2 linked regions of the Saccharomyces cerevisiae S288C genome follow. The protein of the gene in region 1 binds, or shares a complex with, the protein of each later gene. Each region holds a gene or a part of one and is shown on either strand. Other genes may lie near its edges. The genes, in order: CHC1 and YAP1801. A codon is read from its position in the direction of its gene.

The links.
Region 2: the proteins of CHC1 (region 1) and YAP1801 are in contact, whole or in part, in a crystal structure (PDB 9EXF), measured with the Saccharomyces cerevisiae proteins. Residues at the interface, in NP_011309.1 of Saccharomyces cerevisiae: Val49 (codon at 4,473), Lys63 (codon at 4,515), Asn64 (codon at 4,518), Met65 (codon at 4,521), Gly66 (codon at 4,524), Gly67 (codon at 4,527), Ile79 (codon at 4,563), Val81 (codon at 4,569), Arg82 (codon at 4,572), Ala83 (codon at 4,575), Ile87 (codon at 4,587), Gln89 (codon at 4,593), Phe91 (codon at 4,599), Asn92 (codon at 4,602), Leu93 (codon at 4,605), Lys96 (codon at 4,614), Lys98 (codon at 4,620); in NP_012031.1 of Saccharomyces cerevisiae: Asn631 (codon at 6,369), Leu632 (codon at 6,372), Asn633 (codon at 6,375), Leu634 (codon at 6,378), Ile635 (codon at 6,381), Asp636 (codon at 6,384), Met637 (codon at 6,387).

The regions. Positions count from the first base shown.
Region 1 is NC_001139.9:98,300-111,832, reverse strand, and holds CHC1 (clathrin heavy chain), read left to right. Parts: upstream 1-4,328; coding exon 4,329-9,290; downstream 9,291-13,533. Other genes in the region: YGL204C (uncharacterized protein), read left to right, coding at 1-133; POX1 (acyl-CoA oxidase), read right to left, coding at 1,429-3,675; chromatin-remodeling protein SPT16, read right to left, coding at 9,757-12,864; SIP2 (Sip2p), read right to left, coding at 13,248-13,533. UniProt on the Saccharomyces cerevisiae protein: Clathrin is the major protein of the polyhedral coat of coated pits and vesicles. In yeast, it is involved in the retention of proteins in an intracellular membrane compartment, presumably the trans-Golgi.
Region 2 is NC_001140.6:416,518-426,764, reverse strand, and holds YAP1801 (Yap1801p), read left to right. Parts: upstream 1-4,478; coding exon 4,479-6,392; downstream 6,393-10,247. Other genes in the region: bifunctional ATP-dependent DNA helicase/ssDNA endodeoxyribonuclease DNA2, read left to right, coding at 1-2,155; 6-phosphogluconolactonase SOL3, read right to left, coding at 2,292-3,041; MPC2 (mitochondrial pyruvate carrier), read right to left, coding at 3,304-3,693; PEX18 (Pex18p), read left to right, coding at 6,693-7,544; TDA11 (Tda11p), read right to left, coding at 7,702-9,216; KEL1 (Kel1p), read left to right, coding at 9,586-10,247. UniProt on the Saccharomyces cerevisiae protein: Involved in endocytosis and clathrin cage assembly.

The sequences.
Region 1 (13,533 bases):
AGGTGTCATTGCGGCAAAGTTATTAGTTGCATGGTATCTTGCCACCATAGTTATGTATATTGCTAAAAGCGAAATGTGGAAATATGCCTTTGCTGTTTCGCTACTTCTTAATAGTTTGGCACTATTTTTTTGAAAAAATGGAATCGATATTTCTGCATATTAATATCACCATCATTTCTCCTCCCTTATATGTTCCATTACCCTATTACATTATAAATCCTTGTATTTCTGCTTCCTCTACCTTCGATGAAAGCTTCTCATACCTTATGTCATCTTCTAACACCGTATATGATAATATATTGGTAGTGTGACTACTAGTTGATAAACTGTTGGAATAAAAATCAACTATCATCTACTAACTAGTATTTACGTTACTAGTATATTATGATATTCGGTGTTAGAAGATGACGCAAATGATGAGAAATAGTCATCTAAATTAGTGGAAGCTGAAACGCAAGGATTGATAATGTAATAGGATCAATGAATATTAACATATAAAACGATGATGATAATATTTATAGAATTGTGTAGAATTGCAGACTCCCTTTTATGGATTCCTAAATCCTGGAGGAGAACTTCTAGTATATCTACATACCTAATATTATTGTGTTGATAATTAGAGGTTAAAAATTAGTATTAATGAAGAAGTGAGTACTGATCTTCTTATACTAAATAAGAGAGGTATATAAAACACACGCCGATTGGTCATATTAATCATGACCAATATAATAGTGATTCCGGTAGTTACTATACATTGATGTGACGACTCATATTCCTCATATATGTACCTACCATATCATGTTCAGCTAATAGGTCTTTAACACAGCTTCAGTATTGTCTGAGCTTCTCGTTTAACATTCCTTCTGCAATAGGCGCAATCACACTTAAACGTATACGATGTGTACATTAATATACGATGTAAGCATTAGATTGTTACCATAGCAACTCATGTCACTATTAATTACTCTCGTTCCAACATATTGCCTTATTAAAAATGGAATCCCAACAATTACATCAGAATCCACACAATCATCATGATGTTTTAGAGCTTCATTCCAACAAGTGCCAACACAGCACATTTATTATTTGTTATGTATATAATTCTGAGATATTGAGTAAACACTCAATAATTACCTGCCATCTTAGTATAGTGGTTAGTACACATCGTTGTGGCCGATGAAACCCTGGTTCGATTCTAGGAGATGGCAATTTTTTTACTACTATACATTGGTAAATGTAGTCATGTCATTGATTCGTCATAGTTATGTGAATAGTATTAGATATGTAAATAGATAGAGAGTACCGTTATGCACATAAGATGGCCTCTCACTAGGATTTTGTAACTTTTTGTTAAAACTTGGCGACACTAGTTGAATTGAAACAAAAGTCGCAAAACAGAGGGTTCGAAGGAAAACAGGAAACCTCTACTCACTTGTTTATTTTCGATAAAATTTCCGCATTAGCTGCACCACCTAACTTTTGGTCAAATTCGAAACCTCTACCGAGCATGCTGCTCAACAGCGCATGATAAGAAGGCTTCCCTGCCCCATCTGCCTCCACTGGATTATTGCGGCAAACTTCATTGAAGTAATTGTGATAGATATCGCCATCAAAGTAACCTATAGGAGAATTTAACATCGCGTCAGGTAATTCAAAGGAGTCTGTCAGACCTATACAGTCTTTCCTCACAATTGGCAAAAGAGCCAATAGTTGTGGCTGCACAACTTTAGAGATCTGATCAGGAGTGAAGATCTTGAATTGTTGGAATTCTCCGGAATGCTTGTCAATAAAATACAAGGAAAATAACTTATAAACATTCCACATAGATTCCTTTGTAATTTCATCGGAAATATGTGAATCACGAGAGTTTAACTTGTCGTAATAGGTTTTCAACATGCAGCGCAAGGCATGAAATTTGGATACTAAGACTAAAAGCTTAGAAACGCTATCAATACTTCTTGATTTTTCAACTAAAGTACCAATATGTGCCAGTAATTTGATTAAGGTGATAGACCAAATTTCAGTATAATCACCCAACTCCTTTAAACCACTCTTTATTTCTCCAGAAACCACAGATCCTATGTACTGAGGTTTTAAGTAAGAGAATGAGTCCACATCCAGTGTGTTGTCAAATCTACCCTTTGTGGCTGAATCGATAAATTTTTTCAATATTGATTTTGCTGAAGTTAAAGATAAAACATTATTATCACCCTCCCATGTGCACTGAACCACCCAGTCGTCATAGCCTTTACCAAATCCGTTATACTGTGAATACCCATGTCCTCCGCAAGTCTGTCTCAACTCATCAATCAGTGTAGCAATTAACCAAGTATTGGTGGCTTTCAAGCTGGCGCTATCAATAAATAAATTCTTCAACTTTTTACTCACGGTAACCAGAGCAGCTTTGTATGCAGATGAGGAAGCGTTGTATAACTCGTCCAAAGTGGAATAATAGTTGTCCATTAACTTAAAAGCTACAGGTGACACCAAATATGGAACACACAATTGTGGTAAAACACGATATTGGTGAAGGGGATAGTCGATTAATTGTGTTTCAGACAATCCCTTTCTAGGTGCGAATTGCTGACGACCAACCGCGTAACGTACAGCAATAGTAGCAAATTTGGAGCCAAACCTAAATGAATCCATGACCATGTTAACTCTACCACTTAACAATGCACTATAACCAGAAATTTGATCCAATTGTGGCTCAGTTTTGACGGTGACTGAACCATCTGGAGAACGGACAACTTTGGTAAATCTACTTAGCATAAATTCTCTAGGGATAACTACGTTTCTGAACTGGATCCAGCCATTATCAATACCGTCACGACCCATCTTCGCTCCAATATCCCCTATGGAAACACCAGCTAACAGTTGGAAAGTCGAAGGGTCTCTCAGAGGAACAACGAATGTTTTTACACCGTAGTCTTTACCTTCAACGATCAATCTGGCGTACACGGCAGCGTGCGTGGCAGAATGGGCAGCCCCACCAATCCACCATTTGGTGGCAGTTAGATCAGGTGTATCAATTACAAAAGTATCATTTTGCTTATCGTACACAGCCCTAGTCTGCAGCTGGGCAACATTGGAACCATGTCCTAACTCAGTCATTGCAAAACAGCCATATATACCTTTCATCAAAGTGGCACCTCTCTCCTGCAACCAATACCGGATTTGCTCATCAGTACCATTGCCCTTGATACAATTACCAAATAGCCCCAAGTGTACACCCACGCGCGTACCCAATTGAGGATCAATATTTGCTACAAGTGACAATCTCTTATCGAATATAAAAAGGTCTTTGTTTGTTAAAGGCGAAGCTTTGTCTGGATCATTTGCTTGCAACTCTTTCATCAGGTCAGTGTCGCGAAAGTGTTTGCGCACTGTTTTGATATCGTGCTCCATATAACTAGCAAGCCTAGCTATTTTTTTGGCAGTAATTTCTCTCTCTTGCATTTTTTTAGCATCGTAATAGTCCGTATCAGTTTTCAATATAGGATCATTCACTATTTGGTCTATTAAGGCGTGCGTCAGAGTTCTCCTCTCCGGGGATGACTCTAAAAATGTGTTAACTTGGTCAACTTTGATTTTCGAATCCGCCCTTTCTTTCTGGATAAATTTTTGAGGATTCAGAACCACCGAATCGGGATTAATAGTAGTACGTCTCGTCATATCGCAATACTAATTTATTATATTTTCTTTTTTTCTGTGATACTTATTAGTGTCAAGTGTGTATTCAAAAACGGAGAGCAATATTAGTGATGATGAGCGGAATGAGGAAAACTTTAAGGCCTGTTCAAGTTGTTTAAATAATTTTTACAGGTTAGACCTTTATAAACACTCTTAAAGCCCCAATGTATTAGTGCTTTGACTTAACAACGCCAACGTTCTCTTGTGTACTTGCTTGTAGGTGATTTACCCCAACGGCTATTAGCCGCTAATGACCGAATTCCTTTCGCTTCGGAGTTTAATCAACTAATACCGTAAATATAGGGCTTAAAATGTGTCAGGGTTTGAACGCAAAAAAAGGAGGTTTATAATAAAATATTAGCACATTATAGGTTTTAAAGTTAAAAAATAATAGGGTTAATTTTATTACCCTACCCCCTTTTTTTGGTCGAGATCTCGCATTTTTCGTCGCTAGGAATAAATACAAAGAGAATTAAGAAAAGTAAAAAGTGGAACTGAAGGAATCTACAGAAATAAGGAGATATTTTGATTAGTTGTTCAGAGTAACTTATTGAAACCTCGACAATCCGGATCAGAGTTGAGAGAGAAAGAAGATATTCAACTATAAAAATAAATTATCACGAAAGTTCTAACCAATGAGTGACCTACCCATTGAATTTACCGAATTGGTCGATCTGATGTCCTTAGGAATTTCCCCTCAATTCCTTGACTTCAGATCAACTACTTTCGAGAGTGACCACTTCGTCACTGTTAGAGAAACAAAGGACGGTACAAACTCTGTTGCAATCGTGGATTTGGCCAAAGGCAATGAAGTGACAAGGAAGAATATGGGCGGTGATTCTGCTATCATGCATCCATCTCAGATGGTTATTTCCGTTAGAGCAAATGGTACTATCGTGCAGATATTTAATTTGGAAACTAAGAGCAAGTTAAAGTCTTTTACTTTAGATGAACCTGTTATTTTTTGGAGGTGGTTGAGTGAAACCACTTTGGGTTTTGTTACCGCAAGATCCATACTGACCTCGAACGTCTTTGATGGTAACGTAAATGCTAAGCCTCAATTGCTTACCTTGAGACACGCTAACTTGAACAATACCCAAATTATCAATTTTGTGGCTAACAAAAACCTTGACTGGTTCGCAGTTGTTGGTATCTTACAAGAAAATGGCCGTATTGCCGGTAGAATTCAATTATTCTCAAAACAACGTAACATCTCCCAAGCTATCGACGGTCATGTTGCTATCTTTACGAATATATTACTAGAGGGTAATGGCTCGACCCCGGTACAAGTTTTCGTTACTGGTAACAGAAATGCCACCACCGGTGCTGGAGAATTAAGAATTATCGAGATTGATCACGATGCTTCATTGCCTTCTCAATATCAAAAGGAAACTACCGATATTTTCTTTCCACCAGATGCAACGAATGATTTCCCAATCGCTGTTCAGGTGTCTGAGAAATACGGCATAATTTACCTATTAACCAAGTATGGCTTCATCCATTTGTACGAATTGGAAACCGGTACCAATTTATTCGTTAATAGAATTACAGCAGAATCTGTTTTTACTGCAGCTCCGTACAATCACGAGAACGGTATTGCATGCATCAATAAAAAAGGTCAAGTTTTAGCAGTAGAGATTTCTACTTCTCAAATCGTTCCATATATCTTGAATAAATTATCTAATGTGGCACTGGCCTTAATCGTTGCTACAAGAGGTGGCTTACCAGGTGCAGATGATTTATTTCAAAAACAGTTTGAATCTTTATTGTTACAAAACGATTATCAAAATGCAGCTAAAGTTGCAGCCTCTTCCACTTCTTTAAGGAACCAAAACACCATCAACAGGTTGAAAAACATTCAAGCACCACCAGGCGCCATTTCTCCTATCCTACTTTACTTTTCAACACTATTGGATAAAGGGAAATTGAATAAAGAGGAAACAATTGAATTGGCTAGACCAGTTCTACAACAAGACAGAAAACAATTGTTCGAAAAATGGTTAAAGGAAGATAAACTAGAATGTTCAGAAGAACTAGGTGACATCGTTAAGCCTTTCGATACTACTTTAGCGCTAGCTTGCTACTTAAGAGCAGGTGCCCATGCAAAAGTTATATCTTGTCTTGCCGAATTACAACAGTTTGAAAAAATTATTCCTTACTGCCAAAAGGTTGGATATCAACCTAACTTTTTAGTGCTGATTTCTTCTTTGATTAGATCATCACCAGACAGAGCTTCTGAATTTGCCGTATCTCTATTACAAAATCCGGAAACTGCTTCTCAGATCGACATAGAAAAAATCGCAGATCTATTCTTTTCCCAAAACCATATCCAACAAGGAACCTCTCTACTTCTAGACGCGTTAAAAGGAGATACCCCAGACCAAGGTCACTTGCAAACTCGTGTTCTTGAAGTCAATCTACTACACGCACCACAAGTTGCTGACGCCATATTGGGAAACAACATCTTTTCTCATTATGACAAACCAACTATTGCTTCCTTATCCGAAAAGGCGGGACTATACCAGAGAGCTTTAGAAAATTACACAGACATCAAAGATATCAAGAGATGCGTTGTCCACACCAATGCATTACCTATCGATTGGTTAGTCGGATACTTTGGTAAGTTGAACGTTGAACAATCTTTGGCGTGCTTAAAAGCTTTAATGGATAACAATATTCAGGCTAACATCCAGACCGTAGTACAGGTGGCAACTAAATTCTCTGATTTGATCGGTCCATCTACTTTGATTAAATTATTCGAAGATTATAATGCTACGGAAGGTTTATACTATTACTTAGCCTCTTTAGTCAACCTAACCGAAGATAAAGATGTGGTTTACAAATACATTGAAGCTGCTGCTAAAATGAAACAATACAGAGAAATTGAAAGAATTGTGAAGGATAACAATGTCTATGATCCAGAAAGAGTCAAGAATTTCTTGAAGGATGCCAATCTAGAAGACCAGTTGCCTCTAGTCATAGTTTGTGACCGTTTCGACTTTGTTCATGAAATGATTTTATATTTGTACAAATCACAGAACTTAAAATTTATTGAAACTTACGTGCAGCAGGTTAACCCTTCAAAGACTGCCCAAGTTGTTGGCGCATTACTTGATATGGACTGTGATGAGGCATTTATTCAAAGTCTGCTACAATCAGTCTTAGGTCAAGTCCCTATTAATGAATTAACTACTGAGGTTGAAAAGAGAAATAGACTAAAAATATTGCTACCTTTCCTAGAACAAAGCTTAAGTCAAGGTATCCAGGATCAAGCTGTTTACAATGCCTTAGCAAAAATTTATATTGATTCCAATAATTCTCCTGAAAAGTTTTTGAAGGAAAACGACCAATATGACACCTTAGACGTTGGTCATTACTGCGAAAAAAGAGATCCCTACCTTGCATATATTGCGTATGAAAAAGGTCAAAATGATGATGACTTGATTAGAATCACTAATGAAAATAGCATGTACAAGTACCAGGCAAGATATTTGTTGGAACGTTCTGATCTCGATTTATGGAACAAAGTTTTGAATCAAGAAAATATTCACAGAAGACAATTAATTGATTCGGTCATCTCCGTTGGTATCCCTGAATTAACTGATCCTGAACCTGTTTCCTTAACTGTTCAAGCATTCATGACCAATGGATTAAAACTGGAACTAATTGAGTTGCTAGAAAAAATCATATTGGAACCTTCTCCTTTCAACGAAAATGTGGCTTTACAAGGGTTGCTATTATTGTCTGCTATTAAGTATGAACCAACTAAGGTTTCAAGCTATATCGAAAAATTAGATAACTACGACGCCGATGAAATTGCTCCATTATGTATTGAACATGATTTGAAGGAGGAAGCTTTTGAAATCTATGACAAACATGAAATGTACGGTAAAGCTTTAAAGGTTTTAATCGAAGACATCATGTCTTTAGATAGAGCTGCTTCTTATGCTGATAAAATCAATACTCCCGAATTGTGGTCTCAAATTGGTACGGCTCAGTTAGATGGATTAAGAATCCCAGATGCTATTGAGTCTTATATTAAAGCAGAAGACCCATCAAATTACGAAAATGTAATTGATATAGCCGAACAAGCCGGTAAATACGAAGAATTAATTCCATTTTTACTAATGGCTAGAAAGACTTTGAAAGAACCAAAGATCGACGGTGCTTTAATCTTGGCCTATGCTGAACTAAACAAGATTCATGAAATTGAGAACTTGTTGGCAGGTTCCAATGTTGCAAACTTAGATCATGTTGGTGATAAATTATTCGAGAATAAAGAGTATAAAGCGGCCAGGCTATGTTATTCTGCTGTTTCTAATTACTCCAAGCTTGCTTCTACCTTGGTTTACCTGGGAGATTATCAGGCTGCTGTTGACACTGCTAGAAAGGCTTCAAACATTAAAGTTTGGAAACTGGTTAACGACGCTTGTATTGAAAAGAAAGAATTCAAGCTGGCTCAAATTTGTGGGTTGAACTTGATCGTTCACGCTGAAGAATTAGATGAACTGGTGGAAAGGTATGAATCAAACGGCTATTTCGAAGAACTGATTTCATTGTTTGAAGCTGGTTTGGGACTTGAAAGAGCTCATATGGGCATGTTCACTGAATTGGCCATTTTGTATTCCAAATATGAACCAGACAAGACCTTCGAACACTTGAAGCTATTCTGGTCCAGAATAAATATTCCAAAGGTTATTAGAGCTGTCGAACAAGCTCACCTCTGGTCGGAATTGGTCTTTTTATATGCTCACTATGATGAATGGGATAATGCTGCTTTAACACTAATCGAAAAATCAACCAAAGACTTGGATCACGCCTATTTCAAAGAAGTTGTTGTCAAAGTTTCTAACTTAGAAATCTATTACAAGGCCATTAATTTCTACGTCAAATTTCACCCATCATTACTAGTTGATCTTTTGACCTCATTGACACCAAGATTAGATATTCCAAGAACTGTCAAAATTTTCTCGAAATCCGACAACTTGCCTTTAATCAAGCCTTTCTTGATCAATGTCTTACCAAAAAATAACTCAGTTGTCAACCAAGCCTACCACGATCTGATGATTGAAGAAGAAGATTATAAAGCTTTGCAAGACGCTGTTGATTCTTATGACAAATTTGACCAATTGGGATTGGCATCTCGTTTGGAATCTCATAAGCTAATTTTTTTCAAGAAAATAGGAGCCCTGTTATACCGTAGAAATAAGAAGTGGGCAAAGAGTCTTTCAATCTTGAAGGAAGAAAAGCTATGGAAGGACGCTATTGAGACGGCAGCAATCTCTCAGGATCCAAAGGTAGTGGAGGCTCTACTCACATATTTCGTTGAAACCGGTAACAGAGAAGGCTTTGTTGCTTTGCTATATGCTGCTTACAACTTAGTGAGAATTGAATTTGTTTTAGAAATATCATGGATGAATTCTTTGGAGGACTACATTAAGCCATTTGAAATCTCCATAAAAAAAGAGCAGAATGATTCCATTAAGAAAATCACCGAAGAACTCGCTAAAAAGTCCGGATCTAATGAAGAGCACAAAGATGGCCAACCTTTGATGCTGATGAACAGCGCGATGAACGTTCAACCCACAGGATTTTAAGACGTGGATAAAATAATTCGTTTGCTGTACCCCATCGTGTATTTTTTTTTTTTTTACCGTTATTATTTTGTTTGTTAGCATCTTTGATTATCTGAGGGGATTTCAAAATGCCAATAAAAAAGACCTTATGAGTTCTGTATTTTTCTTAATATTTTCGAGAGAATTTCCCAACTATAAAATTGTAGATTACAGGAATAAATAAATTGCAGAAACTAAAATGATTGAAACTGCCTTTTCAATTTATATACTTTTATATCAAATTATGTTCAACTCTAGTAGAGTTTCTTTTATTACGCAAACGTCCTATGACCTTGACCGTTAGCATTGAGTGTACATTCAGTCCATTTACATTTCTTAGCATTGATAAATACTATGCCTAAATACCATCATTATTTTTCAGATACATAAGAGTAATTTTCTGTCAGATCAAGGTCTTGCTGGTGAAACCCAGTAAGTGTTATAAAGTCTAATCTCTAAAGTTTGCACCCCTATCAGCCCTAGCAGCCTTTTTCTCTAATTCATCCCAGTCTTCACCTTCCTCACTCTCGTCGCCAGTATAGTCCTCACTTTCATCACCACTAATATCGTCATCCACCTCTGATCCTTCTTCATCTTCAGAAAATGCGCTTTCATCACTTACGTCGTCTTCTGAAGCCTCATATTCACTAACTTCTTCTTCACTTTCATCAGATGCTTCATCATCTGAACCAGTAGCCAGAAAATTCCAACCACCATCTAAGAAAAACTGATATGGATCATCTTGTAATGACTTCATAATAGTTGCCCAATTCAAATTGATTGTTGAGACAGTGTAAGGAATATCCATATCTGTTAACCACTGCTTCAAGAAATCTAAAGATTCGATCGGAACTGTATTGATATGAGTGACGGGTTTATTGAAATCTTTATAAACAAAAACCATGTCGAAGTTTTTCAAACCAAATTGAACTCTTTCTAAAATACAGATTTCGACTTCCTCTAGGTTAATCACCAAAAATGGTGGTTCAATCAATTGAACTAAACAATCTGTAGTTGGCATACAGAAAACTGCCGATCTATTTGGGACACCTTGGAAGCCCAAATCTCTAAATGTATTCTCCACCGTCAATAAACCGTTTGATGCTTCTGCGATTGCGTCTGCAAAATACTTAAATTCTTTATCAAGCGCAGCTCGTTTTCTTCTTTCTTCTTGTTCTTGTTCCAGCTCATCCTCATCACCATATCTTCTGAATCTGGATTGACCTCGTCTTCCACCTCCAGTTTCATCGACGGACATATCAGAAGCTTCACGATAGAATTGGACGTCTTGTATTTTCTTTTTACCCATTAAAATTGGATTCTTCAAATGAATATGAATGACGACAATTAATTCACCTTTACAAGATTGAAAAATTAGATTCTTAATGTTTGAGAATAATATGTCTATTCTGCTATCAGTCCTTAGTGGGGATTGAAATCTGATACCATTTTCATGGATAAAGACAGTACTAGGTACACGTTTTGTATCTGGATTTGGCCTCACAAAAATTTGATCCAGTCTTTTCGTTCTTCCAGTTTTATTTTCAATCAATTTGTCCTGTTGAACAACATCAGCAAGCGCCTTACGTTCTTGCTCTCTCTTTGTGGCTTCTTTTTTCAAATCTGCAATTTGTTTAAAGGTTTCACTCATGCGGTCACCATCTTTGGATCTTAGTGTAATCGAACGTACAAATTGATTGTCTGCTGATTCCTCATACGGCAATTCCTCCACTTTTTTAGAAATACCACCAGAAGATCCCGGTGAATTAAAGTTCAAACGTAAATACGTATATTCGCCTTCTTCGTTTTTAGAACCATTCTTATATGAATTTATATGAAATGGGACTGGCCTACCGTAAATGGGTAGAATAATTGTTTGGCTTTTCCAGTCGACATGAATTCTTAGATCACGAATATTGGTTGGTAGTTGTGAATCCCGAACATAAGATTCATATTTTTTGAAGTATTGACGAGGTTCACTATCTGGGCCATTGGCATCAGCAGCACTAAATCTGAGTAATCCATTCTTTTCCAATTTTTCGTGTAGCTTCTTTTGGTTTTCTTTACGAATTTGCTCCTTTTGAGCGTCTTCGGCACCACCACGGGCTTCGCCACGTAACTTTGTTCTTAAAATTTTGGAATTTCTGTCTGGTTTACTAGGGACTTTGGTGGCAGGTGAAGATTTCTTTTTATTATTGTCTTCTTCTTCATTATTGAAATAAAATGATATCTGGGATTTGGCTTTGGTGTAATTTGTTAAGAAGCGTGGAGGCTCTGTTTCATCGAGAGGAATTTGAACCGTATCAGCTAATTGTAAAGCGTAGTTGTTAGCACTTTGAGAATCTTTCAGATTATTGAAACCAAACGAAATATTAAAGCAGTCACCGCGTTGGATTTTACGGTAATCATTCTTAACATTTAATATAAAGTTAGAATCTCTAAATTCGAGACCAATCAATGAACCAATGTTTTTGGTGAAATTGGGCACTAGTTCAGGTTTGGTTTTTTCGATGTATTCTATTACTGATTCATAAACTTCTTTTGGTGTACGGCCGGGCTTCAGAATGTTAGTTACAATTTCTTTTTGCAAAGTTAATAGAAAATCGTAGTTGTTGGCCATTTCTTCAGATGGATCGATCAAAAAGGTCCTAGTAATATTAGAACAATAATTATTGTAACGAATACCACATGAAGCTAAAATACAACCGTTGCCGTACAACTGATCATTGGTAGAACGGGCAGAAACCCTAAGATCAAACTTTTTCCCGGACTGAATGATTGGAGAATAGGTCCAATCCAATAAATCAAAGTTGAATTTGTAGTTTGGTGGGCATAATGCGCTTAAATCGGGACTCAATTGCTTCAAAAATTTCACATCATCAATTTTATTTTCAATTTTGTCTGATAACTTGGCATTGGTGATTTTCAACTCCTCGTCAACTGCCCGAACCATTTCATTGGATAAAAGGTCCATAAATTTGTCCGACCCCTTACTTGAAACGGACAGGAAGGCTTGTTCGTTAACATCCTTCACTTCCCAAACTTTAGAAAGACCCAGCGAAATATCAATGACATTGAATTCGTTCTCCTTCACAGCCGCTTCCCATACTGGGTTCCACTCAGTCATAAATTTACCTTGGTAAGAGTCCTTTTCAGGGATACCCACTGTTTTACCAGCGCTATTGATTAAGGCAATAACGTCATCAAATAACTTTTTATTGAGTTCTGGTTCTTTATTGTTTCTTTGCCACAATTCCAGCGTAATTTTGCTTTCAGGGTCTTTAAATAGATCAATTGCCTTTTGTAAATGCTTGGCCTTGGCAGAACTAGTAATTATAATAACCTTTCCGGGAACTAATGCAATCAAAGTAGCGGGAAATTCGTAACTTAGCAACCAATTATGCAATATGGTCGTCTTCTGGTACGGGTTTTCAGCGTTGGACGAACCTAAAACAAACAGCAGCGAATTTGGAGAACCTTCAAACTCATTGTACTTGGAATACAACAATTCAATCCTTTTCTTAAATACGTCAAAATCAATATTCAGCTCTTCCATATTCACTTAAATACACGAAGCCAGTTCACGAAAGGTGCAATATCAGAAAGGAGTAAAGTTGGAATAGCTGAACTTTTTACCTTTTAGTCCCGTGACTCTCTTAGCTACTTTTATTCCTCTTCTCACCAATATTAAGATTTCAATATTCTTTCGTTAGAAAAGTGGCGATTCTCATTTTCCGAAAAAAAAAAAGATCACGCGACTTCCGGGTATTAGTATCGTGGTTTGTGATAACAATAAGCATTGAGAGTACTGAGCCCATTAGTAAATCATTATGTTATATGCTTCTATATCTCTGCTTACACTAAATTGGAAATAGAAATTAGTGTGCCATAGCTGCCAAAAATATATACAATACGCCTTTAAAAAGTAGGAATCCCGGATTACGAGGACTCTATGGGCGTATAAAGAATCTGGGTGACATATTTCTGTTTATATCGAACGATGGAGGCTACACAAAGTGTATTGTGCTTAATGCTACTAGTAACCAAGTGGTTAAGCACCACATGGTTCGGAATGGGCAGAGCGCCTGAGTTGTTCTCGTTGAACTGGTCTTGCGTGGCATAGTATTTATTCAAGATAACATTCTCCAACTGAGGAGGTAATTGGGGTGGTGTCAGCCATGACGTATCAGTATTGCTTTGCTGACGATCCAAGGTATAATAGTAT
Region 2 (10,247 bases), on another chromosome or scaffold:
TTTGTCGCAAAATCTCGCCAACTACAAAGAGTTTTTTACAAAATATAATGATCTAATAACTAAGGAGGAGTCAAGTATAACATGTGTAAATAAAGAACTTTTCTTATTGGATGGTTCCACAAGAGAATCCAGAAGTGGAAGGTGCCTTTCTGGCTTGGTTGTGTCAGAGGTGGTTGAACATGAAAAAACAGAGGGAGCGTATATATATTGCTTCTCAAGACGTAGAAATGATAATAACTCGCAGTCGATGTTATCATCTCAAATTGCTGCTAATGACTTTGTTATTATTAGTGATGAGGAGGGTCATTTTTGCTTGTGCCAAGGTCGTGTACAATTTATAAATCCCGCTAAAATTGGTATCTCCGTAAAACGAAAGTTATTAAACAATAGGCTTCTAGATAAGGAAAAAGGAGTCACTACCATCCAAAGTGTGGTCGAATCAGAGCTAGAACAATCCAGTCTCATAGCTACCCAAAATTTGGTCACATATAGAATCGACAAAAATGATATCCAACAGAGTTTGTCTTTAGCGCGATTTAATCTTTTAAGCTTGTTTTTACCAGCTGTTTCACCTGGCGTGGATATTGTTGACGAAAGGAGTAAATTATGTCGGAAGACAAAGAGATCTGATGGAGGTAATGAAATACTGCGATCACTTTTAGTTGATAATAGAGCACCTAAGTTTAGAGATGCAAATGATGATCCCGTCATTCCGTATAAGCTTTCAAAGGATACAACATTGAACTTGAATCAAAAAGAAGCAATAGACAAAGTAATGAGGGCCGAAGATTATGCATTGATATTGGGAATGCCAGGGACTGGTAAGACTACTGTTATCGCAGAAATTATTAAAATTCTCGTTTCCGAGGGGAAACGCGTGCTTTTGACATCATACACACATTCAGCAGTGGATAATATTTTAATAAAATTGAGGAACACCAACATTAGCATAATGAGATTGGGAATGAAACATAAGGTCCATCCTGACACGCAAAAATATGTCCCGAATTACGCGTCAGTGAAAAGTTATAACGATTATTTGTCCAAAATTAACAGCACCTCTGTTGTTGCTACCACCTGCTTAGGAATTAACGATATACTATTTACACTAAATGAAAAGGATTTTGATTATGTGATTTTGGACGAGGCAAGTCAAATTTCAATGCCTGTCGCTTTGGGACCTCTGCGGTATGGAAATAGGTTTATTATGGTAGGAGATCATTACCAGCTACCGCCATTAGTTAAAAATGACGCAGCTCGATTAGGTGGGTTAGAAGAGTCACTGTTCAAGACTTTCTGTGAAAAGCATCCGGAAAGCGTTGCAGAACTGACTTTACAGTACCGTATGTGCGGCGATATTGTAACTTTGTCTAATTTCCTAATTTATGATAATAAATTAAAATGCGGGAATAACGAAGTTTTTGCTCAATCTTTAGAGTTACCAATGCCTGAGGCCTTGTCGCGCTATAGGAATGAATCGGCTAACTCTAAGCAGTGGCTTGAGGATATACTAGAGCCTACAAGAAAAGTGGTATTTTTAAATTACGATAACTGCCCGGATATTATCGAACAAAGCGAAAAGGATAACATTACGAATCACGGGGAGGCAGAATTGACTCTACAATGTGTGGAAGGAATGTTATTGAGCGGCGTACCATGCGAAGATATTGGTGTAATGACGTTATACAGAGCACAGTTAAGATTACTGAAGAAGATATTCAACAAAAATGTGTATGACGGGCTAGAGATCTTGACTGCTGATCAGTTTCAAGGTCGTGACAAAAAGTGCATTATTATTTCCATGGTTAGAAGAAATTCTCAATTAAATGGAGGAGCGCTGCTGAAAGAGCTAAGAAGAGTCAATGTTGCCATGACAAGGGCCAAATCCAAGCTGATCATTATAGGTTCAAAAAGTACAATCGGCTCTGTTCCTGAAATAAAATCGTTCGTGAACCTGTTAGAAGAGCGTAATTGGGTCTATACAATGTGCAAGGATGCACTCTACAAATACAAATTTCCCGACAGATCAAACGCTATTGATGAGGCACGCAAAGGTTGTGGAAAAAGAACAGGTGCCAAACCCATCACATCAAAGTCTAAATTCGTAAGCGATAAACCTATCATAAAGGAAATTCTACAAGAGTATGAAAGTTGACAGGGGGAATAAGAAGAGCTTCTCCATAACAGGAAAGCTATCACAGCATAAAATATCTATGTCATTTTATAAAGTTTGGTATATATAACACGTAATATTAGCATCTGAGGTTCGAAAGCTCGCATGTGTGTCTTTTCTAAAAAGTTTTCGTTTGAACTTTTCCAAAAGCTTCCTCATTAACGAACCAGGATGTTTTTTCACCAAATAATTTGTTAACCAATGCGGTTGGCAATTGATCGTTTTTCAAGTCAAAGATCTCATGCATTATATTTTGTTTGGAACTGCCCTCAGCCACAAAACACAGGGCTTTGGCGTCTTTCAACACAGGCAGAGTGAAGGTGATTCTGTCACTTGGAGGCTTGGGAGAATCGTGGCACCAAGCAACTCTTTTGGTTGTTTCGTTCAGCAAGTACCTATGTGTTTCTCCAGGGAATAAGGAACAAGTGTGTCCATCAGGACCACAGCCCAACAGTACCAAATCAAGCACTTGAGGTACGATACGCTCGTACTCTGCAGCAATTTTGTTGTTAGATTCAGCATCGCTGCCAATCAAGGACTCGTCCATGGGATAAACGTTTGGCTGACTAGTCGAGGGTAATTTATCTAGAACAGCTCTCTTGAAGGCACCATAATTGCTGTCAGCGTCCGTCAGTGGCACAATTCTTTCATCAGAGAAGTAGATTTGCCATTTAGACCATTGCACTCGAGAAGATAGTGATTCGTCCGCTACTAAACTTTCATACAGAGCATCGATCAAAGAGCCACCGCTAACGGAAACTTTAAAGTCTGACTTCTTTTGCAGCGCCTCATCTTGTTTCTTGACGATGAATTCCCCCAATTGATGGGTCAAACTAGCCCTCTCAGAAAACACACCGACTGTCACCATTTGGTCGCGGACCAGGGGTAAAGCAATTGATGGTGCATTGCCTTCTATTATCCTCGAGGCCTTTCCTCTTTATATAATATACCACTATTACCATTGTCGGGGATAAAAAGGTAAGAAAAAAACGGAAAAATGCAAAAGAGCAAATTATAACACCGCGCAAAGAAAATATACTTTACTATTTTATGAATATTATACAATCCGGATATATATGCTTACGTACATATCTTTGACAAAGCAAAGTTTCGAGTTGTAAATTCGGCGTTTATCTGCCCGTAGTAATTTCCTTTTTGCTTTCGTCGGCGCCGCTGAGAATATAGCTACACAATTGCGATATAGAGTCGCCATTCCGTATCCTGTAGTTGGCAATTCTACCCAATTGATAGCCAGCGGTCAGACAAAGAAACGAGTTGACAGAAGCCAACAAGATGTTTCTTGGCTTGATGACAAAGGACCAACGAGTCCAAATCAGCGCAGTAGATAGCAGCGACAAATTTTGAGCACCAGAAATTTTTTCCACCGGTCTCTTCATATCGCTGAATCCAGCGAAAACCAGACCCCATTTCAAAGTAGGAGCCCAGAAATGCACCGTCTTGGGGCCTGTCTCACTTTGCCAGAACCGCCTAAATGCAAAACGTACGGATGATGTAGACATTTTTCTTTTCTTTAATCTTTTTCTGTATAACTTCGTTTATATAATTCGTGTGTCAATTTTCTGATATAGTGAGTGATAATTCTCGACAATACGTTCTTTCGAATGAACTAATGGTTTGCCGTCTATTTCAGTTTCCTATTGCAGTCAGCGATGTCAACGATGTGCGTATCAAACTTTACTGTTTTCCTCGAGGAAAAACCTTTGTGCTTCTTTTCTCTCGGACTTTTTCTTCTTTCTTATTATATACTCAACGCTTTTCTTTTTCTTCTTTTTTTTTCCATCCTAGTCATGCGCGCAATAGGAAAGCGCACGAAACAAATGAGTAATTCGTAGGAAACAATGCAGCCCCCAGGGTCAGCAACTGACGTGACTCAGCCTGGCTTTTGTAGAAAAAGATGACGCCCTGGCAGAGAGGTGGGGGAATTGAGGGGTCCTCGCTACCCACCTTAAGTATGGAAGAATATGATGAAGAATATGATGATAACTCTTGGAAGCGAGCGGCGGGTTCCATCACTTTTTACGGATTGGTAACACAGGGGCCTCAGTTCGATACTTGGTATTCAGGCTTCCAGCGTTGGTGAGTTTAGTTAGCGGTATGGTATGCACATGGTGTTGATGCTTGGTGGTAATCATTCGTTAGGTGAATTGAGCAGTAGCGATATTAGATATATTTAGTATTTTATAGCGTCTTTTTGGTGGGGGAGGAAGGACAAAACCTGTCTCGTAAATATAAAGGGACTGTTCGATATCGCAGATACTAGAGTATAAATTTCGATTGAGGCGAGATGACAACATATTTCAAGTTGGTAAAAGGTGCTACCAAGATCAAGTCAGCCCCGCCCAAACAGAAGTATCTGGATCCGATACTGTTGGGGACCAGCAATGAAGAGGATTTCTATGAGATCGTGAAGGGTTTGGATTCCCGAATTAATGACACGGCGTGGACTATTGTGTATAAATCGCTGTTGGTGGTTCATTTGATGATAAGGGAGGGTTCCAAAGATGTTGCATTGCGGTACTACTCTAGGAACCTGGAGTTTTTTGACATTGAAAACATACGTGGCTCCAATGGCAGTGCGTCTGGAGACATGAGGGCACTTGATAGATACGATAATTATCTGAAGGTGAGATGCAGGGAGTTTGGTAAAATCAAAAAGGACTATGTGAGAGACGGCTATCGAACACTGAAGCTGAACAGTGGCAATTACGGAAGCTCCAGAAACAAGCAACACTCTATCAATATAGCACTAGATCATGTGGAGTCCCTAGAGGTACAAATACAAGCCCTGATTAAAAACAAGTATACACAATATGATTTGAGTAACGAATTGATCATATTTGGTTTCAAGCTGCTTATTCAAGACCTGCTAGCGCTATATAATGCTCTCAACGAAGGTATCATAACTCTGCTGGAGTCTTTTTTCGAACTATCTCATCATAATGCAGAGAGAACTCTAGACCTGTACAAGACGTTTGTTGATTTGACCGAGCACGTTGTCAGGTACTTGAAGAGCGGGAAGACTGCGGGCTTGAAAATACCCGTCATCAAGCATATCACTACCAAACTGGTCAGATCGCTAGAAGAACATCTGATAGAGGATGATAAGACGCACAACACTTTTGTGCCCGTTGACAGTTCTCAAGGAAGTGCTGGGGCCGTAGTAGCCAAATCTACTGCACAGGAAAGGTTGGAGCAAATCCGGGAACAAAAAAGGATACTAGAGGCACAATTGAAAAACGAACAAGTAGCGATTTCCCCTGCTCTAACTACTGTCACGGCGGCTCAATCTTACAACCCGTTTGGAACAGACTCTTCTATGCATACTAACATTCCAATGGCTGTGGCTAATCAAACGCAACAGATCGCAAATAACCCATTTGTATCTCAAACTCAGCCACAGGTGATGAATACACCAACCGCTCATACAGAGCCCGCAAATTTAAACGTTCCTGAATATGCAGCGGTCCAACACACAGTGAACTTCAACCCTGTACAAGATGCTGGCGTAAGTGCCCAACAAACGGGGTACTATTCGATTAACAACCATTTAACACCCACATTTACAGGTGCAGGGTTTGGAGGATACTCCGTTTCACAGGATACAACTGCCGCTTCTAATCAACAAGTCTCTCATTCACAAACTGGTTCTAACAACCCGTTCGCATTGCACAACGCCGCGACGATCGCAACAGGGAATCCTGCACACGAAAATGTCTTAAATAACCCATTTTCACGACCAAACTTTGATGAACAAAATACCAATATGCCGCTACAACAACAGATAATAAGTAACCCTTTTCAAAACCAAACGTACAATCAACAACAATTTCAACAACAAAAAATGCCTTTGAGCTCGATCAATAGCGTTATGACAACCCCTACTAGCATGCAGGGATCGATGAATATTCCTCAGCGTTTTGATAAAATGGAATTTCAGGCTCACTACACTCAGAATCATCTCCAACAACAGCAACAACAGCAACAGCAACAACAGCAACAGCAACAACAGCAACCACAACAGGGTTATTATGTGCCTGCAACTGCAGGAGCCAACCCTGTTACAAATATAACTGGGACAGTTCAACCTCAAAATTTCCCTTTCTATCCACAACAGCAACCACAACCGGAACAGTCTCAAACACAGCAACCAGTTTTAGGAAACCAATATGCTAACAACCTCAATTTAATTGATATGTAATATCTAGTATAATCAGGTATGTAAGGGAGTACTCAAGTGCATCTTTGGATAGCTATATATAGTTGTAAGGAAGAGCTATGTAATTTTTGCCATTTTGTACATATTTTGCATTTGTCCTATAGTATGTAATACTTACATCTTACTGTCTTCAATTCCTCCCGCCAACAAAAGATTTCGATAGCGCCGCACCATGGAGTTTATATTGTTATTTCCGAGACGACCTATATAAGGGAAAAGACGAAAACTGGGTATTTGATACTTGTCTAAACTTCAATGGACAAATGATATAAAATACAAACAATGAATAGTAACCGATGCCAAACGAATGAGGTGAATAAATTTATTAGTAGTACAGAAAAGGGGCCTTTTACGGGCAGGGACAATACGCTCTCTTTTAACAAAATCGGGAGCAGACTGAATTCACCACCGATTCTGAAGGATAAAATTGAGCTGAAATTTCTACAACACTCAGAAGATTTGAATCAATCACGGTCCTACGTAAATATTCGTCCTAGAACCTTAGAGGATCAAAGTTACAAATTTGAAGCGCCAAATCTAAATGACAATGAAACTTCTTGGGCCAAGGATTTTAGATATAACTTCCCTAAGAATGTTGAACCGCCCATCGAAAATCAAATCGCGAATCTTAATATAAACAACGGGCTACGGACATCTCAGACAGATTTTCCCTTAGGCTTTTATTCACAGAAAAACTTTAACATTGCTTCCTTCCCTGTGGTTGACCATCAGATATTCAAGACAACAGGTTTAGAACATCCTATCAACAGCCACATTGATTCTTTAATTAATGCTGAATTTTCGGAACTGGAAGCCAGTAGTTTGGAAGAAGATGTCCATACAGAAGAGGAAAATTCAGGTACGAGTCTGGAAGATGAAGAAACTGCCATGAAAGGTTTGGCTTCCGATATAATTGAGTTTTGCGATAATAATAGTGCCAATAAAGATGTAAAAGAAAGACTAAACAGTTCAAAGTTTATGGGGCTGATGGGCAGCATTAGTGATGGTTCTATAGTTTTAAAGAAGGATAACGGTACAGAAAGAAACCTTCAAAAACACGTAGGTTTTTGTTTTCAGAATTCAGGAAACTGGGCTGGTCTTGAGTTCCATGATGTTGAAGACAGAATTGCTTAACGGGCCTTGAAATTTCTTTAATTTAAACCATGAATTTCAGATATATAACACTTTTTAACCACTTTCAAGAGAAAACAGTATTAAATTACATACTGCGTTCACAGCTATACGTAAAAAGAGTGACAAGTGAAGAATAAACGTCATTTTGAAAAAGGAATTAGAAGTCTGTCATTTCAACTGAGTTTTTGACGGAGGAATTATCATTATCGGGTTCTCCAATAAAACTTAGCTTGTTACTACTTCTTTTACTTTTTTTTTCTCGTGTTCGATGTCCACTTTCATCTGTGAGACTATTATTCCCAGCATTGTCTTTCTGGAACTTAGTTGTCGTTTTAAATTTCCTCATGTTTAAACTAGAATCGTCGCCACTATCTTCTGCTTGCCCCCGGTTCGTAATTTTATGTGTACTTTTTTTCTGTTCATGCTGTCTATCGCTTTTATATACAGGATCACATCTGTTATCAGTAATAACATCATTATCGTTTTCTTCTTCTATACCGAGTAATCCGGCCTTGACATCGCTAACAAAGCTCCAAAGCGACCTGGAGACTGATCCTTGCGAAGGAGATTTTTGGCGAGCTCCAGGTGCTTCATTATCGTACTGTTGCGCGGACGACTCGCTATTACTAGTCGGTGTCCCTTCCTGTACCTCAGGCGTACCTGAAAGAGAGTCATCCCAATTCAGAGTTCTTTCAATTTCATGCTGAATGATTTTATCAAACTGATTAAACAGAGCTAATGGTTTGCTCCAAAGTGACTGTTTGGATGAATCTGACGAGTCGTCCCTTTGGCGCCTTTCTTGAATATCTTGCGGAGACACAGATCTTGACTGATTAGTACTTTGATGACCCATGTTCTTTGGTTTACTGACAGAACTAGGAAGGCTGCTGTTACCAGCATTTTCAGTTCGTGATTCCAAAGGTATATTCTGGTAAACCGGTGAAAAAGCCCGGTTTTTAACAGGTGTATTTAGAGAGGGATCCAAATGTTTACTCACTTGCTCCTTGAGTTCATGCAGTTCACGTGCCCGACGAGTATAGTTTTGCTCTTCATGCTGGGTTTGCTTTTTCAAATCTTCAATCTTTTGTTTGCATTCCAGAAGTTCTAACTCTTTTGTAGCGAGAGATTGTAGAAGCGCACTTACATCGACCCCATTTGTTGGTATGGTGGTCGCTATCATACTATTAACCGACTGCGAACTCCCATTTCTAGACCGTCGAAGTCCGCTGGCCATCGCTTGCTCACTAGAAAGTACAGTGGTTGACTCTAATGGGATTCCATAGGATCCCTCAGAATGACTTACTGAAGGTAAGTTGTTTTGAGATTCTGGTGTAGTGGGAACAACCATGGGTTGAATAAGTGATCTTCTCTTGCTCATTGCATTTGGAACTGAGACAGAAGAATGACGAGTTACCACCCTCCTAGCATCTGGCTTGGCTTGTAAGGGATGGTCCTGGTCATTTAATCTGGTAGGCGTCATTAGTCTTTGCGAATGCATGCTTCCCGCACTGGACGTACGATGGTGTTCTAGCCTATATCCATTGGAACTAGCAGAACGAATCTTTCGTCCAGTTTTCCTCACAGGTGACATCGAAATTATACTATTTCGGGTACTGGTGTCCACATCCAAATCCTTCTCATTAGACTCTATAAACTCGTCAAATTTATTCATATCAGTGCCCTAGGAGATAGATTTAATTATCCTCGGATCCATGTAGTGGTAATTGAGAAAAGCACAGTTAGTATTGGCCTTTTTCCTTACCTATTATATTGAACTTTACAACTTGTACCCTTCATCACCTTTGGAATCACGCGGCACGTCTTCTGGGGACTTGGCGACGCGGTTGTTGATAGTAAACTACAAGCAAGCATTCCTTTAAAATACGAAACAATAAGATATAGAAAAGCAACAGGGCTCGTTCTATAAAGTAATTGTTTTGCTTGATTTGTGATACTTACACTTATTAACAAATTCACAGTAATTTTTCAGGAAAAGTTAGAGCCCGTTTGCTTCAATTTGCACCTAGAAAATAACTCAAACATGGCTGGATTCAGCTTCGCCAAGAAATTCACTCACAAGAAACATGGAAAGACGCCTTCTGATGCTTCTATCTCTGACCAATCTAGAGAAGCTTCACTGTCAACTCCTCCAAATGAAAAATTTTTCACAAAACAAGAAACGCCTCAGAAAGGGCGTCAATTTTCACAAGGTTACCATTCTAATGTTAATAAAACTAGTTCACCACCTATGTTTGCCAGAAAACAGGTATCCGAATCAAGGATTCAACCGAGCGCAGTACCACCGCAACAGCGAAATGTCTCAGGACCGTCCACTACTCTCCATAAGCAGCTTTCAAAACAGAGAGAATATACCGTATGGAATAGAATCAAGTTACAGAATTCTCCTTTTCCACGTTATAGACATGTTGCTTCAGCATATGTTACAGACAAGAACCAGATATATGTTATTGGGGGACTTCATGACCAATCTGTGTACGGCGATACATGGATATTAACGGCCTTCGATAATGCCACCAGATTTTCCACTACAACGATAGACATAAGTGAAGCTACACCACCACCAAGGGTAGGCCACGCTGCTGTATTATGCGGGAATGCCTTTGTTGTATTTGGCGGTGACACACACAAAGTCAATAAGGAAGGTTTGATGGACGATGACATATACCTTTTGAATATTAATTC